Linked DNA regions of Stegostoma tigrinum. The main gene of each other region encodes a partner of the protein of the gene in region 3 in a complex. Links are inferred from orthologs where the notes say so. Each region holds a gene or a part of one and is shown on either strand. Other genes may lie near its edges.

Region 1 (4,893 bases), on a different chromosome or scaffold from region 3:
ATTCTCAGGCGCTTAGCCAAGTCATATTTTGCAATTCAAGTGCACTCGGGCTTTTTTTCTGAAAGAGTACGACATTCAGAGAAAGAAATGTGCAGTCTGCTAAGAGTAAATAGTGATCATAGTGTATGTAGGAGTTAACGTTGAAAAAGAAAGACGTGACCGTGGATCTTTATTGTCCTACCAACCTGTTAAAAGTACCACTGCAAATTCTTGTGCTGCCGATCCCTGAAGAATGTCTGATTTTTCACAAGTGAGTTGTTGAGGTATTCAATACTCAACTGCTTTAACATACGAAAGGCAACTTGACGTATTTCATTTTTTTAAAAAAACACATGTCTCCAATATTGAAATGGATTTTATGGTCTGATTTGTCCCTTTGGCCATCGAGTTATAGGGATCTACAGCGCGGAAAAACGCCTCCGATCCATTATCTTTCTCACTGCTAATATTTCTTGGCATGACCAGGAATCAAGTGGTCGTCTCCAATAAAGGTTAGGCTTTATTCTGAAAAATGGAACAGAAACGAGTCGCTATCTCCTTCTGCAGTTCGATGTAAACTATGTTTGATAATCTCTCTTTCGAAGAAATTAAATGGGTTTCAGTACTTTAAAAATAATAAGTGAACGCAAACTGTTGTATACTAATTCCACAAGAGAACAAGACTTATTTTCTAAACAGCAAACTGACTTCCCGATTTAGGACTATTTTCAGTCAGTAATTTGCTGATCACCATGGCAATGGCGGCCAAGGGGGCGGCTTTTGGGACGTCATCTGAAAACGCTCTATCAATTTCCCTGAGAGCCTGGAAGCGGGTGTGGTCCAGCAAGCACGTTGGCCGCCGCTTTGGTGTCACGTGATAGATAAGGGCGCCGTTTTCTCGCAGCTGGGGAAGGCGATGACCCGTCAAGTGCATGCAGCTCAACCAATGGTGACGACCGGGATTAGGGGGCGGGGCTGCATCTGATTCACGTGACGCAGCTGACTGGCGAACTGAAGGCGGTGTAGGATATGAGGCTCTCATGGGCGGGACTAAATAGACGTTACGTGACGCGTCATTTGGTGCGAGAGTGGGTGAGTAAAAGTGGCATGACGGCACGACGTCATGTGATGCACGTTGGCGGGCTATTTGTGTTCACCAAGAAGGCAAGAGGGTCAGGCTAGAGTGGGCGGCACCCATGTTCGCGGCGACACGCGTGGAGAGGCAGGACTGTCAGTGTTACGTTTTTTAATGGGTGGGGCAGGTGTCGGGGGCGTGTAAAGGAAGCGTGGTCTGGGCACGAATAGGCGGGGCGCCCCGTTTTGTCATGTGACGGTTGGAAACCATGTGGGCGGGTACCGTTTTGTGTGACGTTTTTTTGACTGGCGTGAGGTGGGCGGGCGGGTTTGTGGTATCACGTGAGGTGGCTGTTTGCGCTCGAGCCGCTTTTCTCCCGCGGCCTGGTGGAAAAGGCTGAGGGAAGATCAGCAGAAGTTGCAGTCAGATCGAAAAGATTCAAACGCCCTTTACTGCGATGTGGAAAGGCGAGAAACCGCCTGTGAGGTTCGTTAATCGTTAAACGGCGAGCCTCTTCTGTGTGAATGACTGTCATATAAAGGGGAGGAGCCCCCGCTGTAGGGCAGTTATTTATTGGAAAGCAAAACCGATGCTTCACGTTATCACAGTACACGTTTTGAAGGAAATTTTTCATATCTATTATGCGTTTATTTCTTTACGAGACGTCTTGACAGGTTTTGTTCATTTATTTTTTCCAAATGGCAAAGTGTTAATGTTTGAAACCAAAACACACGTTGCTAGAAAAACTCAGCCGGTCAGGCAGCATCTGTGCAGACAAAGTTATCGTTTCGAGTTCAAAGACCCTTCTGCAGAACCAGCAACTTTTGTTTTTTCCCTCCAGATTTTTTAGCATCCACAGTTCTTTGTTTTATTTATTTGGATTCAAGTCCCTACCTGCTCCAGGAGATAGGGACATCAGAAATAAAGTGCTAGAGAAATACAGTGATAATGGGAACTGCAGATGCTGGAGAATCCGAGATAACACAGTGTGGAGCTGGATGAACACAGCAGGTCAAGCAGCATCTCAGGAGCACAAAAGCTGACGTTTCGGGCCTAGACCCTTCATCAGAGACGGGGATGAAGGGTTTAGGCCCGAAACGTCAGCTTTTGTGCTCCTGAGATGTTGCTTGGCCTGCTGTGTTCATCCAGCTCCACACTTTGTTATGCTAGAGAAATACAGTCTGGCAGTATCTATGGAGAGAAAAGCAGTTAAGCTTTCGAGTCCAGTGATCCTTCATCAGAACTGAAAACAGCTGAGAATTGGACTTTTTGCTGATGATGTGGGGTGGGGTAAGGAGAGAATTGAATGGATGGAGATTTAGCACCGTTTCATGGCTGAAAAATAAACTGTAAGTGAGGAATGTGGGTAGCTCTTTATGACTTAAGTGCTTGGCTGTCTCTCTTTATAACTTTGAATTTAGTAAGATCAAAACAGGAGGAGGCCATTCAGCTTAAGCAGTCTTGCCTTTCAGAAATCTCGTAGCTGTCCTCCAACCTTGCTGCATATCGTCACATTTGAACCACGTCCTCTATATTTGGTTAAAAATCTATCAATCTCAATTTTGAAACAAACCATTGCCGTAGCATAAATTGCCATTTGTAGGAGAGAGTTCCTTTCTTAACTTCCTCTGCTTGAAGGGTGATAGTTTGCATCTTCTTCAGTCTTCCCTGGTACCATTCTAACAAAATTGTTGTACTCGCTCAGTATCCTTTATATCCTTAGTCAGTGATTAGTTCATCTCTGGGAACAATTGGGACACAGTTGGTGGTCCTGCTGCACAGAGTGGTCTCCCTGGATCTGGGCCAGAAGAGCTGTGTACAGGGCTAACTTTTCCAGAGGTATAAAAACCAAGTCAGAGTAGATTGATGAACATTGGGGAATAAATTCGATGGTAACAAGAAGAACATATTATGTAACACTTTTTTAATCTAAAGCAGTGTAAGGATTTTGGCACAAAAAGCGAAGTTGCTGGAGAAGCTCAGCAGGTCTGGCAGCATCTGTGAAGGGGGAAAAAAAATCAGAGTTAATGTTTCGGGTCCCGTGACCCTTCCTCAGAACTGTTTTTGGCCCTTTTTTGGCTAAAATTTCAATCTGTTCTCTTTTGGACTGTGGGCAATGATGTTATTTAAAATCTATATATCAAAAATGACTACTCCCTCACACTTCTCCAACTGAGGTGTTTACAGTCAAAACCTAATAGCACCTGTCTTAATTGAATTGTATGTCAATTTTCCAATCCGACTAACCCTCTTTGTACAGTCAACCTCTGTCTCTTCCCTCCACACTCCACTCTTCTTCCTGCCCTGCAGCCAAAAAAAATTACTGAGATGTAAGAATATTGCTACAGGACCGAAACACACACAAACTATAGTGTTATAACAATGTGTAGAGCTGGATGAACACAGCAGGCCAAGCAGCATCAGAGGAGCAGGAAAGTTGACATTTTGAGTCAAGAAGGGTCTCGACCTGAAACATCAGTTTTCCTGCTCCTCTGATGCTGCTTAGCCTGCTGTGTTCATCCAGCTCTACACATTGTTATCGCAGATTCTCCAGCATTGGCAGTTCCTACTATCTCTAAACTGTAGTGTTACCTTGGACGTTAGCCTAACTTGTAATAGGAGTCGTATCTGTTAACAGAACACTTGGTTATTTTTTTCTTTCCATACAGCTGCCCCTGTGTAAAAGCAAAGGCTTCACAGTGACTTGCGAACACCATGGTTGTGCCCCCTATTGATACTCCCACCCCTTCCAACATGGTAGCAGATGTGGTTTTTGTTATCGAAGGTACCGCGAACCTTGGGCCATACTTTGAATCTCTCCGGAAGCATTATATTCTTCCAGCAATTGAGTAAGTGGACCCTGTACTGTTTGTGATTACCCGAAGCAGACCAAGTTGGCTTTTTTCTATGAGGGAATGCTATGATCTAGTGGCTGTGGCATTGTGCTAACGTCCCAAAGGTGCTGTGCGCAAAACCGACTGATTCATTCTTGTTCTTATGGAAATGAAGCCTGTCCCCTCCCTTACCCAGTTCCACCATTTCTTAACTCCTGTACCGGTGTAAGGGAATCACTCCCTGTGCATTGATCAGGTTGATATAATAAATATTTGAAGTCGTATTGTTTGTGATAGGGAATAAAGTTTGCTTCACCATGCTGTAAGGGAGACCCAGATGCTGAAGCCAATGAAAATGATATATGGAGGGGTAGTCAAACAGACCCTTCGAGGAACAAAGTGCAAGATTTTACAGACTGTGCCCCTTTAGAAAAGAGATGACTGAGAGATGACCTGATGGAGACTGAGGATGATTGAATGGCTATACATCAGGAAGATGTTTCCGTATGCTCACAAGTTCACAGCTAGGGATCACAAATATCAGCTAGATGCTAGTAAATCTGATTGGGAACTCAAAAAACATCTTTACCCAGAGAATAGTTTGAACGTGGAATGTGATGCTTCATAGTACAGTTGAAACAACTGCTACAATTGGGGGAAGGTCAATACATAAATGAAGGATCAGAGTGTGAAAATTGTGGTTAAAAAGGAGTGCTGGGAGGAGACAAATATCAGGCTGTAGCCAGTTAAGTGAATAGCACTTTTCTGTACTGTAGGTAATTTTGACTGGAGAAGGGCAGATTCAGAGAGGGCTTTCCAGAATGAGTCCTAGTTAGTTGAACATTTGTCACCCCTGGTAGAGTGAGGGAAGAGGCGGGGGGTCAGTTGGAACAGTTGCACGATTCTGAGTGTGAGTTGACTGAAGAGAGAAATGAAAACTGAGTTGTCTCTTCAAAACAAAAAGCATAGAAGCCCAAATTCTCTTCATGCCCACCATCATTGTCT
Region 2 (4,893 bases), on a different chromosome or scaffold from region 3:
TAGTAACTCAAGGCTGGGCATCCATGAGGCACTGTGCACCATCAACAGCGGCAGAATTGTGCTCTAGCAAAATCTGTAATCTCATGACCCAGCATATCTCCCACTTAACTATTACTATCAAGTCAAGGGATCAACTCTGATTTAATTGAGACTGCAGGTTGGCATGCCAGAAGCAGCACCACACATAGAGAAATGAGGTGTCAGTCTGGTGAGGCTACCAAACAGGACCATTTTCATGCTAAACAGCATATGCTTCAAGTATTAGACAGGGCTAAGCGATCCCACAATGGATCAAAATCTAAGCTCCACAGTCTCGCCACATCCAGTTGTGAATGGTGATGGACAACTAAACAACACACTAGAGGAGCAGGCTTCACAAACATCCCCATCCTCAATGTTGGAAAAGCCCACTTTTGTAAGAGTGACCATCAACCAAAAGATAAGGTTGATACATCACAGCAATCTTCAGCCTGAAGTGCCGAGTGGATGATCCATCTCAGCCTCCTCCAGTGGTCCCCAGCATTACACATTCCATGCTTTCAGTTAATTCAATTCACACCATGTCATATCAGGAAACAGTTGGAGGCACCGGATTCTGCAAAGGCTATAGCCCTGAAAACATTCAGCAATAGTACTGTACACCTGAGCTCCTAAACTTGCAGCTCCCCTTGCCAACTCTTCCAGTACAGTTACAACGCTGGCATTTATCCGATAACATGGAAAATTCCCCAGGTATATCCTGTGCCTAAAAAGCAGGACAACTCAAACCTGGCAAATTATCACCCCCATCAGTCTGCTGTCAATCATCAAGAAAGTGATGGAAGGTGACGTCAGTGTTATCAAGCAGCACCTGCTCAGCAGTAAACCAGCTGATCCCCAGTTTGGGTTCCACCAGGGTCAATCAGCTCTTGACTTCATTACAGCCTTGGTTTAAACATGGACAAAACAGGTGAATTCCAGGGCTGAGGTGAGAGTGACAACTCTTGACATCAAAGCAGTATTCGACTGAGTGTGGCAAGAAGGAGCACTAGCAAAACTGGAATCAAGGGGTATCAGGGCAAACTCTCTGCTGGTTGGAGTCATACCTGACACATAGGAAGATGATTGTGATTGTTGGAGATCCCAGAACAACTCTGCAGGATTCCCTCAGGGTACTGTTCGAGGCCCAATCATCTTCAACTAGTTCATCAATGACCTTCCCTCTATCATAAGGTCAGAAGTGGGGATGTTCACTGACAACTGAAATGTTCAACATCATTTATGGCTCCTGAGATAATGATGCAGTCCATGTTCAAATGCAACAAGATCTGGACTTTATTCAGTTATGGGCTGACAAGTGGCAAATGGCTAGTATCATTCATGCCATACAATGCCAGGTTATGGCCATCACCAAAAATAAACAGTCTAACCAAGGCTCCTTGACATTCAGTGTTAACGCCACTAAATCCCCCACTGACACCATCCTTGGTGTTACCATTGACCAGAAATCAAGAATGTGATGGAATACTCTCCAACTTGCCTAGATAGGTGCGATTCCAATGACACTTAAGAAGATCAACATCATTCAGGACAAAGCAGTCCACTTGATTGGCATCACATTCACAAGCATCCACTCCCAAAACCAACAATGCTCAGTAGCAGATATATGTTTGATCTACAAAATGCACAGCATAAATTGACCAAAGACGGTCGGGTTGAAAGGCTGAGCAGGCTTGTTGGGCGAATGGCCTAATTCTGTTTCTTTTCCCACGGTCTTAAAACAACTTCCAAACATACCACTTCTACCTAGAAGGTTGAGGATTGCCAATACATGTGAACACTACAACCTGCAACTGCCCCTCCACGCCACTCACCACTCTGACTTGGAAATATATCACCATTCCTCCACTGTCGCTGGGTCAAAATTCTGGAATTCCCTCCCTAATGGCATTGCGGGTCAACCCGAAGTAGGTACAAGCTCACCAGCACATTCTCAAGGGCAACTAGGAATGGGCAATAAATTCTCTCGCTCTCTTTCTGGTGGGTCTCACTCTCTCCCCACTCCATCCCCCTACTGGTGCCTCACTCTTACTAATGTTAGCTCTGTCTCTCTCCTCTAACCCTAACAATTTCTCTCTTGCTCTCTTTAACCCAAAGTAGATTTCTCCCTCTTCCTGTTATCTCTCTGTCTAAACCTAACCCAATTTCTCTTTTGACAACATACGTTTCAGAATTTTAATAACTGTACATGGACTGGAAAAATTAACTGAGCTAAATCGGTACACATGGATTGAAAGAAACGGCAATAACTCGAGATAAACTGTTTCTAGAGATGAAAGGAAAACTGTTTCTAGAGATGAAAGGAAGAATGAGAAACTGTTAGAAAAAGGGATTACAGCGACATGTGAATTAACCACCCTGGGAGAAAAGAGCTACAGGAACAACATAAACAAGCTGTTTCCTGGGAGACAAGAGATAACATTATTTGACAATCTGCTGCCTCATCACATTTGGGCAATTTAGACCTGCCTGCAGAAGTAATGTTTTGAAGAGGGGGAAAAAAGCCATGTTTCAAAGAGATCTTAACGCAACGGGGAACAATGGAGCTAATTTTTTGATATGAAGGCAAGCAGCAGACTTGAAATCTCCAGAAGTGTAATCAATACTGGGGATGAGCAAACCTAAAGGATATCAATAATGTCATACTGCGATCTTGACAGACAGAAAGTTGTATAAGAACCCAACACCAGAACGACTCAACAGCAGAACTAAGAAGAACAACACTAGAGAAGGACCGAACCCTGGAAACCTCCAGAGATACAACACTGTTGGTTGGAAATCTGGCCAAATTTCACCATTAATTGGGTACTGAGTAAATTTAGTCACAGGCTTATACTTGCTCAATAGTTTAAAGTATTGTTTCAGTACTTGATTGTCTGTGAGATTTCCTAATAAGTTGCTGAATTAACGGTAGCTTGTGGTGATTTACTCATAACAGGCACTCCTTCACTCACTCCTTCCTTCCTTCCTTCTCTCCCTCCCTCTCCCTGGTGTATCTCTCTCTCTCTCTCCACCCTATCCCCATCTCTCTAACCCAATATCACTCACCACCACCTCCTCGAAGATGCTTTGGAGCTGTGTCTCCATGGAAACCGCCATCTCGCGGCCCCCTGCCACCGCCGCCGCCTCCCCTTCGATCCACGGAAGCCTTGAGCAGTTTCCGCTTCCGGGATGAGCCGTTCCGTCTCCTCTCATCCTCCGCCGTGCTCCGATGGCCTCCGCACTTTCTCAAAACAGCTTCGTTTCAAAGTTTCCTTTCCCCGTTTGCAAGTGCGAATTCGAATCGAAAAATAAAAGCAGTATTCCAAACGATTCACTTACACATTCAGATTTCAACTACATACGCTGTAAACTGGCGGAGACTTTTACATTCAGCCGGTGCCTCGTTGAAAGCAGCGACAGTGAGTGAGGCCCCGGCTTTCCTGTTTGCTTGAAGACTGAACGCCCAAGGCCACTGCCCCCGTGCGGCACCTGGAGGAAACAGCAAAGCCCTGTGTCAAATTGTGAATTCCACCTCAGACACCACCCAGAACTTTACAAATTCATTCCCGTGCCCAAATTACCCTCAAATTTCCCCCAAAAACCTCATTTCGAATCGATCCAAAAATAGATTGGGTGCGAATCTATGTCGGAACCCAGGAAAGCACTTAAACCGCAGGCTATATTCCTTCTTTATGCATGGAAATTGAAGTTTCGACTCATTTCAGCATTGTTCTTGCAAGGGAATTTTTTAAAAAAATTTCATTGGAAGTGCGCCTCACTGGACAGGCCCACTTTTATTAACCATTCCTAATTGCCTTGCAGGACGTGGTAGTGAGCTGCCTTTTTGAACTGTTGCATTCCACCTGAAGTAGGGATGCTCACAATACTGAGGTAACAAGGTGCAGAGCTGGATGAACACAGCAGGCCAAGCAGCATCAGAGGAGCAGGAAGGCTGACGCTTCGGGCCGAGACCCAAAACATCAGCCTTCCTGCTCCTCTGATGCTGCTTGGCCTGCTGTGTTCATCCAGCTCTACACCTTGTTATGTAAGATTCTCCAGCATCTGCAGCTCCGACTATCTCACGCTCACAATGCTGTTTGGAACAGAGTTCTAAGATTTTAACCCATCAATAATCGACAAACAGCCTTATATTTTAAGTCAGAATGGGGGGAAATTTGCATGTGATAGCCTTCTCATTTTCCGTTTTAGTAGTGCTGGGTTTGGGAGATGCTGTCAAAGGAGCCTAGGTGAAGTGCATTTTGTAAATGGTACACACGGCTTCTACTGAGCTTAGGCGGCAAATAAAAATGTTGCTTAAAGTATCAGATTACCTGTGCCTTGTCGATACTGGACACGTTTTGGGGAGTTAGGTTTACTTGCCTCAAAATTTCCAGCCTCTGACCTGCATTGGCAACCATACTATATGGCTGGTCTAGCTCTGTTTTTGGTCAATAGTAACTTCCAGGATGTATATAGTCAGAGATTCAGGAATGGAATTGCCGTTAAATATCATGGGAATGGTTAAATCTCTCTAATGGGAGATGTTCACTGCATGGCACTTGCATGATGTGACTTTTATTTGCCAATTCATAGCTCAAGCCTAAATATTCTCCAGATCTTGCTGAATATGAATTAAGACTACTTCAGTAGCGGAGGAGTTGTAAATGACCCTGACTTTGCACAATCATTAGTGAAAATCCCTATTTCTAACTTTATGATAGATTGAAGATAATTGATGAATATCGTTATGAATATGAATATCGGACACTTAACTGTGGAGCTCTTGCACCGGTGCCCTGTGACTGCAATAATTGGCCTCTAACAAGCATAGCCACCTTCTTTTCTGTTTAATATTCTCCTCTGGTGAGTTTT
Region 3 (4,893 bases):
GCGCCGATACAGTCATCAATGTACCGGAGGAAGAGGTGGGGTTTGGGGCCTGTGTAGGTGCGGAAGAGGGACTGTTCCACATAACCTACAAAGAGGCAGGCATAGCTGGGGCCCATGCGGGTGCCCATGGCCACCCCCTTAGTCTGGAGTCAGTCTGATTTTATTTCTAAAAGTAGGAATTTATTAAAAGCCACATTGACAGACTGTCTATAAATTGTGTGCTTTTTGAACAAAATAGAATGTATATGCAAATGCAAATTCACCTCACAAATTTATATGTGAGTGTGTATGTGTATATGTATATGTTTGTGTTGGTGAGGGAGAGAGAGAGAGAGAAAGTGTGTGTGCGTGTGTGCGTGTGTGTGTGTGTGTCCAAAAGCACACAATTTATAGACAGTCAGTCAATGTGTCATTTTATAAATTCTTATGTTAGAAATAAAACCAGTCTGACTTCGAACCAAAACATGAACAAATTCTAAACACCTAACATGTATTGTCTGACCTAAAATGTCACCTCTTCTTTACACCGATAATATCTTTAGTTCTCGCAGGGAAGTGACTCGAAAGAAGTTTGGAGATTCACACATACATATTAATAAATTAAAACCTTCTAACTGATTAAAGATTTAACAGCATCTTATTGAATTGAATTGAAATGTTAAATAAAAACCGAAAGAACTGTGGATGTTATAAATCAGGAACAAAAACAAGGTTGCCTGAAAAGCTCAGCAAATCTGGCAGCATCTGTGATGTCAAAAACAGAGTTAATGTTTCGGGTCCAGTGATCCTTCCTCAGAACCTCAGAAGAGTCACCGGACCCAAAACGTTAACTCTGTTTTTTCCTTCACAGATGCTACCAGACCTTCTGAGCTTTATCAGCAACTTTGAATTGAAACATTTATTGTCACGTGTATTCAATGTAAAAATACACTGAAAAGTGTGTACCTTGGCCATACATACATGGCGCCATTCACATTAATTTTTGAATAAGAAAAAAAAAATAATTTGAGAGGCTTAACTTTCCTTGCAGGTTTAATACATCCTGATCAGTTGTGTGACTTTTTGATCTTTTATTTATAAATTCTGTGTGTGCGCGTGCGTGCGTGTACTTCTTTCTCACTTCGCCTGATGAAGGGGCCTGTGTCCCCAAAGCTTAGGTTTTCAAATAAACTTGTTGGACTATAACCTTGTGGCGCATGATTTCTGACTTTGTCTACCCCAGTCCAACACCAGCACCTCCACATCATAGTTTATTTCAGCCATTAGAAAAATAGTTATCTGGAATGTTGCCCCTGGTTATAGTAGGGAATTTATGTGGTCCAGGCCAAAATACTACATTTATCATCATTTGTCCTTTTAACCAAAATGCCTCTTCGGCTACGACAATCTCCACTAGCGCTTGGAGTCGGTAAATTCCGGTAGCGCCCGGAGTCGACAATGTTCGTCAGCACTCGGAATCGACAAATTCCGGTAGCGCCCGGAATCGGCAATGTTCGTCAGCACTCGGAATCGACAAATTCCGGTAGCGCTCGGAGCCACTCGTTGGGGCAAGCCGGCTTTCCCAAAGATGGCGGCGTTCGGAATATTGAGTTATGAGCACAGGCCGTTGAAAAGGCCTCGGCTCGGGCCGCCAGACGTTTATCCGCAGGACCCCAAGCAGAAAGAGGTAGGAAAAATCGTCGAGAATCCAGGGGAGGACGGCCAGTCACTCAGTAAGGCAGCCGGGCCGGCGGGGTGAGTAAGCCGGCGCGGGGAGCCGGGCCTAGAGCAGCGTCCATGTAAACAATAAACAGTCCGTATGTATGGGTGGACTTGGGCCTAGAGTAGCCTTGCAGACAGCAGCAATAAGCTGCTCTTGTACTGTCGGTCCCTAACCGTGGGTTGGTCACCCTGTCTCTGTGAGATAGAGTTTGGGCTGGAGCACAGCTCAGCCATTTTAACAGTTAACTACTGGACCGACCTATCAATAACACCTGGTTAATATGGAAATTCGTCATAGATGGTACAAATCTTCACTGTCTCTATCTGGGAGAAACCCAGAAGCAATCAACTTCCACAGTGTTTGCGATTGATCTTGAAGCTGATATATTTTTACTCTTAAAATAATCGGGAAATTTTGAGGATCTGTTGTGCTTCCACACTCAAATTACGCCACACTATATCATCAAGTACTTTTTCTTTTCAGTTAATGTACTAGACCTCAAACCTCAAAATGAGAAGCTATTTAAGATCACTGAACCACATTTTCAGCTGCACAACATACACCGTTACTGTCATTTAGATTCTTTTTGGCTGCCCGCTGAACTCCATGTCCTCCTTAATTAATTTTGAGACCCGTCCTTTCAAGTAACTCTTGGGCCTTGCCTGATTAAAGCTTTGCAATATTTTTTGGCCAAAAAGTCCCATTTAGAATTAATAATAATAATTTCTGGTAGTACTTATAAAGTTGGGCAGAGTTAATTTTTCAGAGTGAGATGACTTGTCCTGAAACATCAGTTCAGTTTCTCTCTCTAGATACTACCTGATCACAGTATTTCCAACACTTTTGTTTTCATTTTTGATTTCCATCATTCAATATTTTGCTTTTTTCTTCCCCTCATGTACGACTTTGATTTCCTTGAATCTGTTAGAATCTTGAGAATTTTTTGGAACTGTTTTTAAGAAAGGATGGTGGAAATAAAGTGCTTGAATATTTTTAAGACTGAGGTGGATAGAACCTTATTAAGCAAGGGTTGAAAGATTGCCTGGCGGGAATGCGGATTTGAGGTTGCAATCCGATCAGCCATGGTCTTATTGAATGCTGAAGTAGACATGAGGGGCTGAATGGCCTGCTCTTGCACATTGTGGTGTGGGAATAAAAGGGCAATTATCATCATGTTTCTTACCCTCTTCATTGTGGATTCTTTCTGGGTACTGATCTTTTAAAAACAAAAGACGTGGTACAATTTCATTGGTACCTGTGATCCTCTAGTACTTTGCCCAAGTGTCTGTTGTTCATGTAAGCTTAGTGTCTACTGACAGGTTCGTTAACGAGCAAGATTGTGCTTGCGGGAGGTGAGGGGGGATGGGGAGTTCTAGGCTTTGGGACAGGGGTTGGGGAGTGTGGGTGCTCTGCTAGTGAGGAAAGATATTGGCTCAAAACTGAGGTGATACTGCTTTCAATCATGCTGTTGTAACCTCCAGCTGTTATTTGTCCAACATTGTCTTTATCAGTTCTTTGATCTTCACCAGATAAAACTCTGACTTACTTGAAACTTCAGTGTTTGCAAGCTATTTCAGATTAAGTCGACTCACCAACTACTTATGTTTCTATCAACCTTTGTTGGTTTCTTGTTCACCAATACACTGATTTCATTATCTATTCTATGATTACAAATACTACCACTGATTCATACCGGCCTAGCTCTAGTCTTACATTCATTATGATCTTCTATGTTTGCAGTTCTGTTTTGCTGTGCATCTCCACCCCACCATTCGTACTGAACATTTGAGCTGGCATTTATTAATGTTTAGGAGGAAGGATGTGAACGAACTGCTGCCAAGTTTGTAGACTACACAAGAATAGGTGGAAATGCAGGTTGTGAGAGGGATGCAAACAGTTTATAAAGAGATATTGATAGGTTAAGTAAGTGGGTGAAGTTGGCACATGGAGTATCATGTGGGAAAATGTGAAGTTGTTCATTTTGGAAGGGAGAACAAAAGAACAGAATAATTTAAAGGAGAAAAATTGCTGAAAGCTGCAAGGCAAAGGGATTTGGGGTACTTCTACATGAAACTAACATGCAGGTGCAGCAGGTAATTAGGAAGGTCAATAGAATATTAGCCCTTAATGTAGAGGGGTTGAAGTACAAGGGTAGGGAATTCTAACTGCAGCTGAATGAAGGCTGAATGGTTGGGACTCTACTCACCAGAGTTCAGAAAAATGAGTGGTGATCTCATTGAAACATAAAGGGATTGACAGTATAAATGCTGAGAAGATGTTTCTCATCATGGGAGAGTCTGAGATCAGAGGGCATAGCCCAGAATAAAAAGATGCCAGTTTGAGATGAGGAGGAATTTCTTTTCTCAAAGGGCTTAGTGTCTTTGGAACTCCTTGACCCAGAGAGCTGTGGAGAAAGTGTCCCTTGTGTATAGTTAAGGCTGAGATAGATAGATAGGTTGATGGGGAAATCAAGGGCTACGGGAAAAATGCAGGAAAGTGGACATGAGGAATGTCAGAGATAATGAAATGTGAGGCTGGATGAACACAGCAGGCCCAGCAGCATCTCAGGAGCACAAAAGCTGACGTTTCGGGCCTAGACCCTTCATCAGAGAGGGGGATGGGGTGAGGGTTCTGGAATAAATAGGGAGAGAGGGGGAGGCAGACTGAAGATGGAGAGAAAAGAAGATAGGTGGAGAGGAGAGTATAGGTGGGGAGGTAGGGAGGGGATAGGTCAGTCCAGGGAAGACAGATAAGTCAATGAGGTGGGATGAGGTTAGTAGGTAGGAGAAGGAGGTGCGGAGTCCATTGGGGATGATCCGGTTCCATAGGCAGGTGCTGAGGAAGGTGATGTGGCTGTGGTACCTGGTTTGCTTCAGGACATGGTCGAGCAGTTTCAAGGCCGAAGAGATTACAAGAGAGTTGCAATGGGAGAGAGATTCTCTGAGGTTGGTCCGGAGGGAGGAGGGTAACTTCTTCAGGTTAGGCATCCCTGGAAGAGGCTTCGCAGTGAGGTTAAAATTGTATCAGTGATAATGGGAACTGCAGATGCTGGAGAATCCAAGATAATGAAATGTGAGGCTGGATGAACACAGCAGGCCCAGCAGCATCTCAGGAGCACAAAAGCTGATGTTTCGGGCCTAGACCCTTCATCAGAGAGGGGGATGGGGTGATGAGGCATGTCAGATCAGCTA

The links.
Region 1: med12 (region 3) and med25 share a complex: the UniProt entries of both Homo sapiens proteins name them as parts of the mediator complex. The link is inferred for Stegostoma tigrinum from reciprocal best matches to the Homo sapiens genes MED12 and MED25.
Region 2: med12 (region 3) and med23 share a complex: the UniProt entries of both Homo sapiens proteins name them as parts of the mediator complex. The link is inferred for Stegostoma tigrinum from reciprocal best matches to the Homo sapiens genes MED12 and MED23.

What each region holds. Positions count from the first base shown.
Region 1 is NC_081391.1:15,913,557-15,918,449, forward strand, and holds the start of med25 (mediator of RNA polymerase II transcription subunit 25), read left to right. Parts: upstream 1-1,389; 5' UTR 1,390-1,540; intron 1,541-3,723; 5' UTR 3,724-3,769; coding exon 3,770-3,903; intron 3,904-4,893. UniProt on the Homo sapiens protein: Component of the Mediator complex, a coactivator involved in the regulated transcription of nearly all RNA polymerase II-dependent genes.
Region 2 is NC_081357.1:71,147,263-71,152,155, forward strand, and holds the start of med23 (mediator of RNA polymerase II transcription subunit 23), read right to left. Parts: upstream 3,477-4,893; 5' UTR 3,235-3,476; coding exon 3,088-3,234; intron 1-3,087. UniProt on the Homo sapiens protein: Required for transcriptional activation subsequent to the assembly of the pre-initiation complex. Component of the Mediator complex, a coactivator involved in the regulated transcription of nearly all RNA polymerase II-dependent genes.
Region 3 is NC_081368.1:38,216,319-38,221,211, reverse strand, and holds the start of med12 (mediator of RNA polymerase II transcription subunit 12), read left to right. Parts: upstream 1-1,544; 5' UTR 1,545-1,567; coding exon 1,568-1,666; intron 1,667-4,893. UniProt on the Homo sapiens protein: Component of the Mediator complex, a coactivator involved in the regulated transcription of nearly all RNA polymerase II-dependent genes.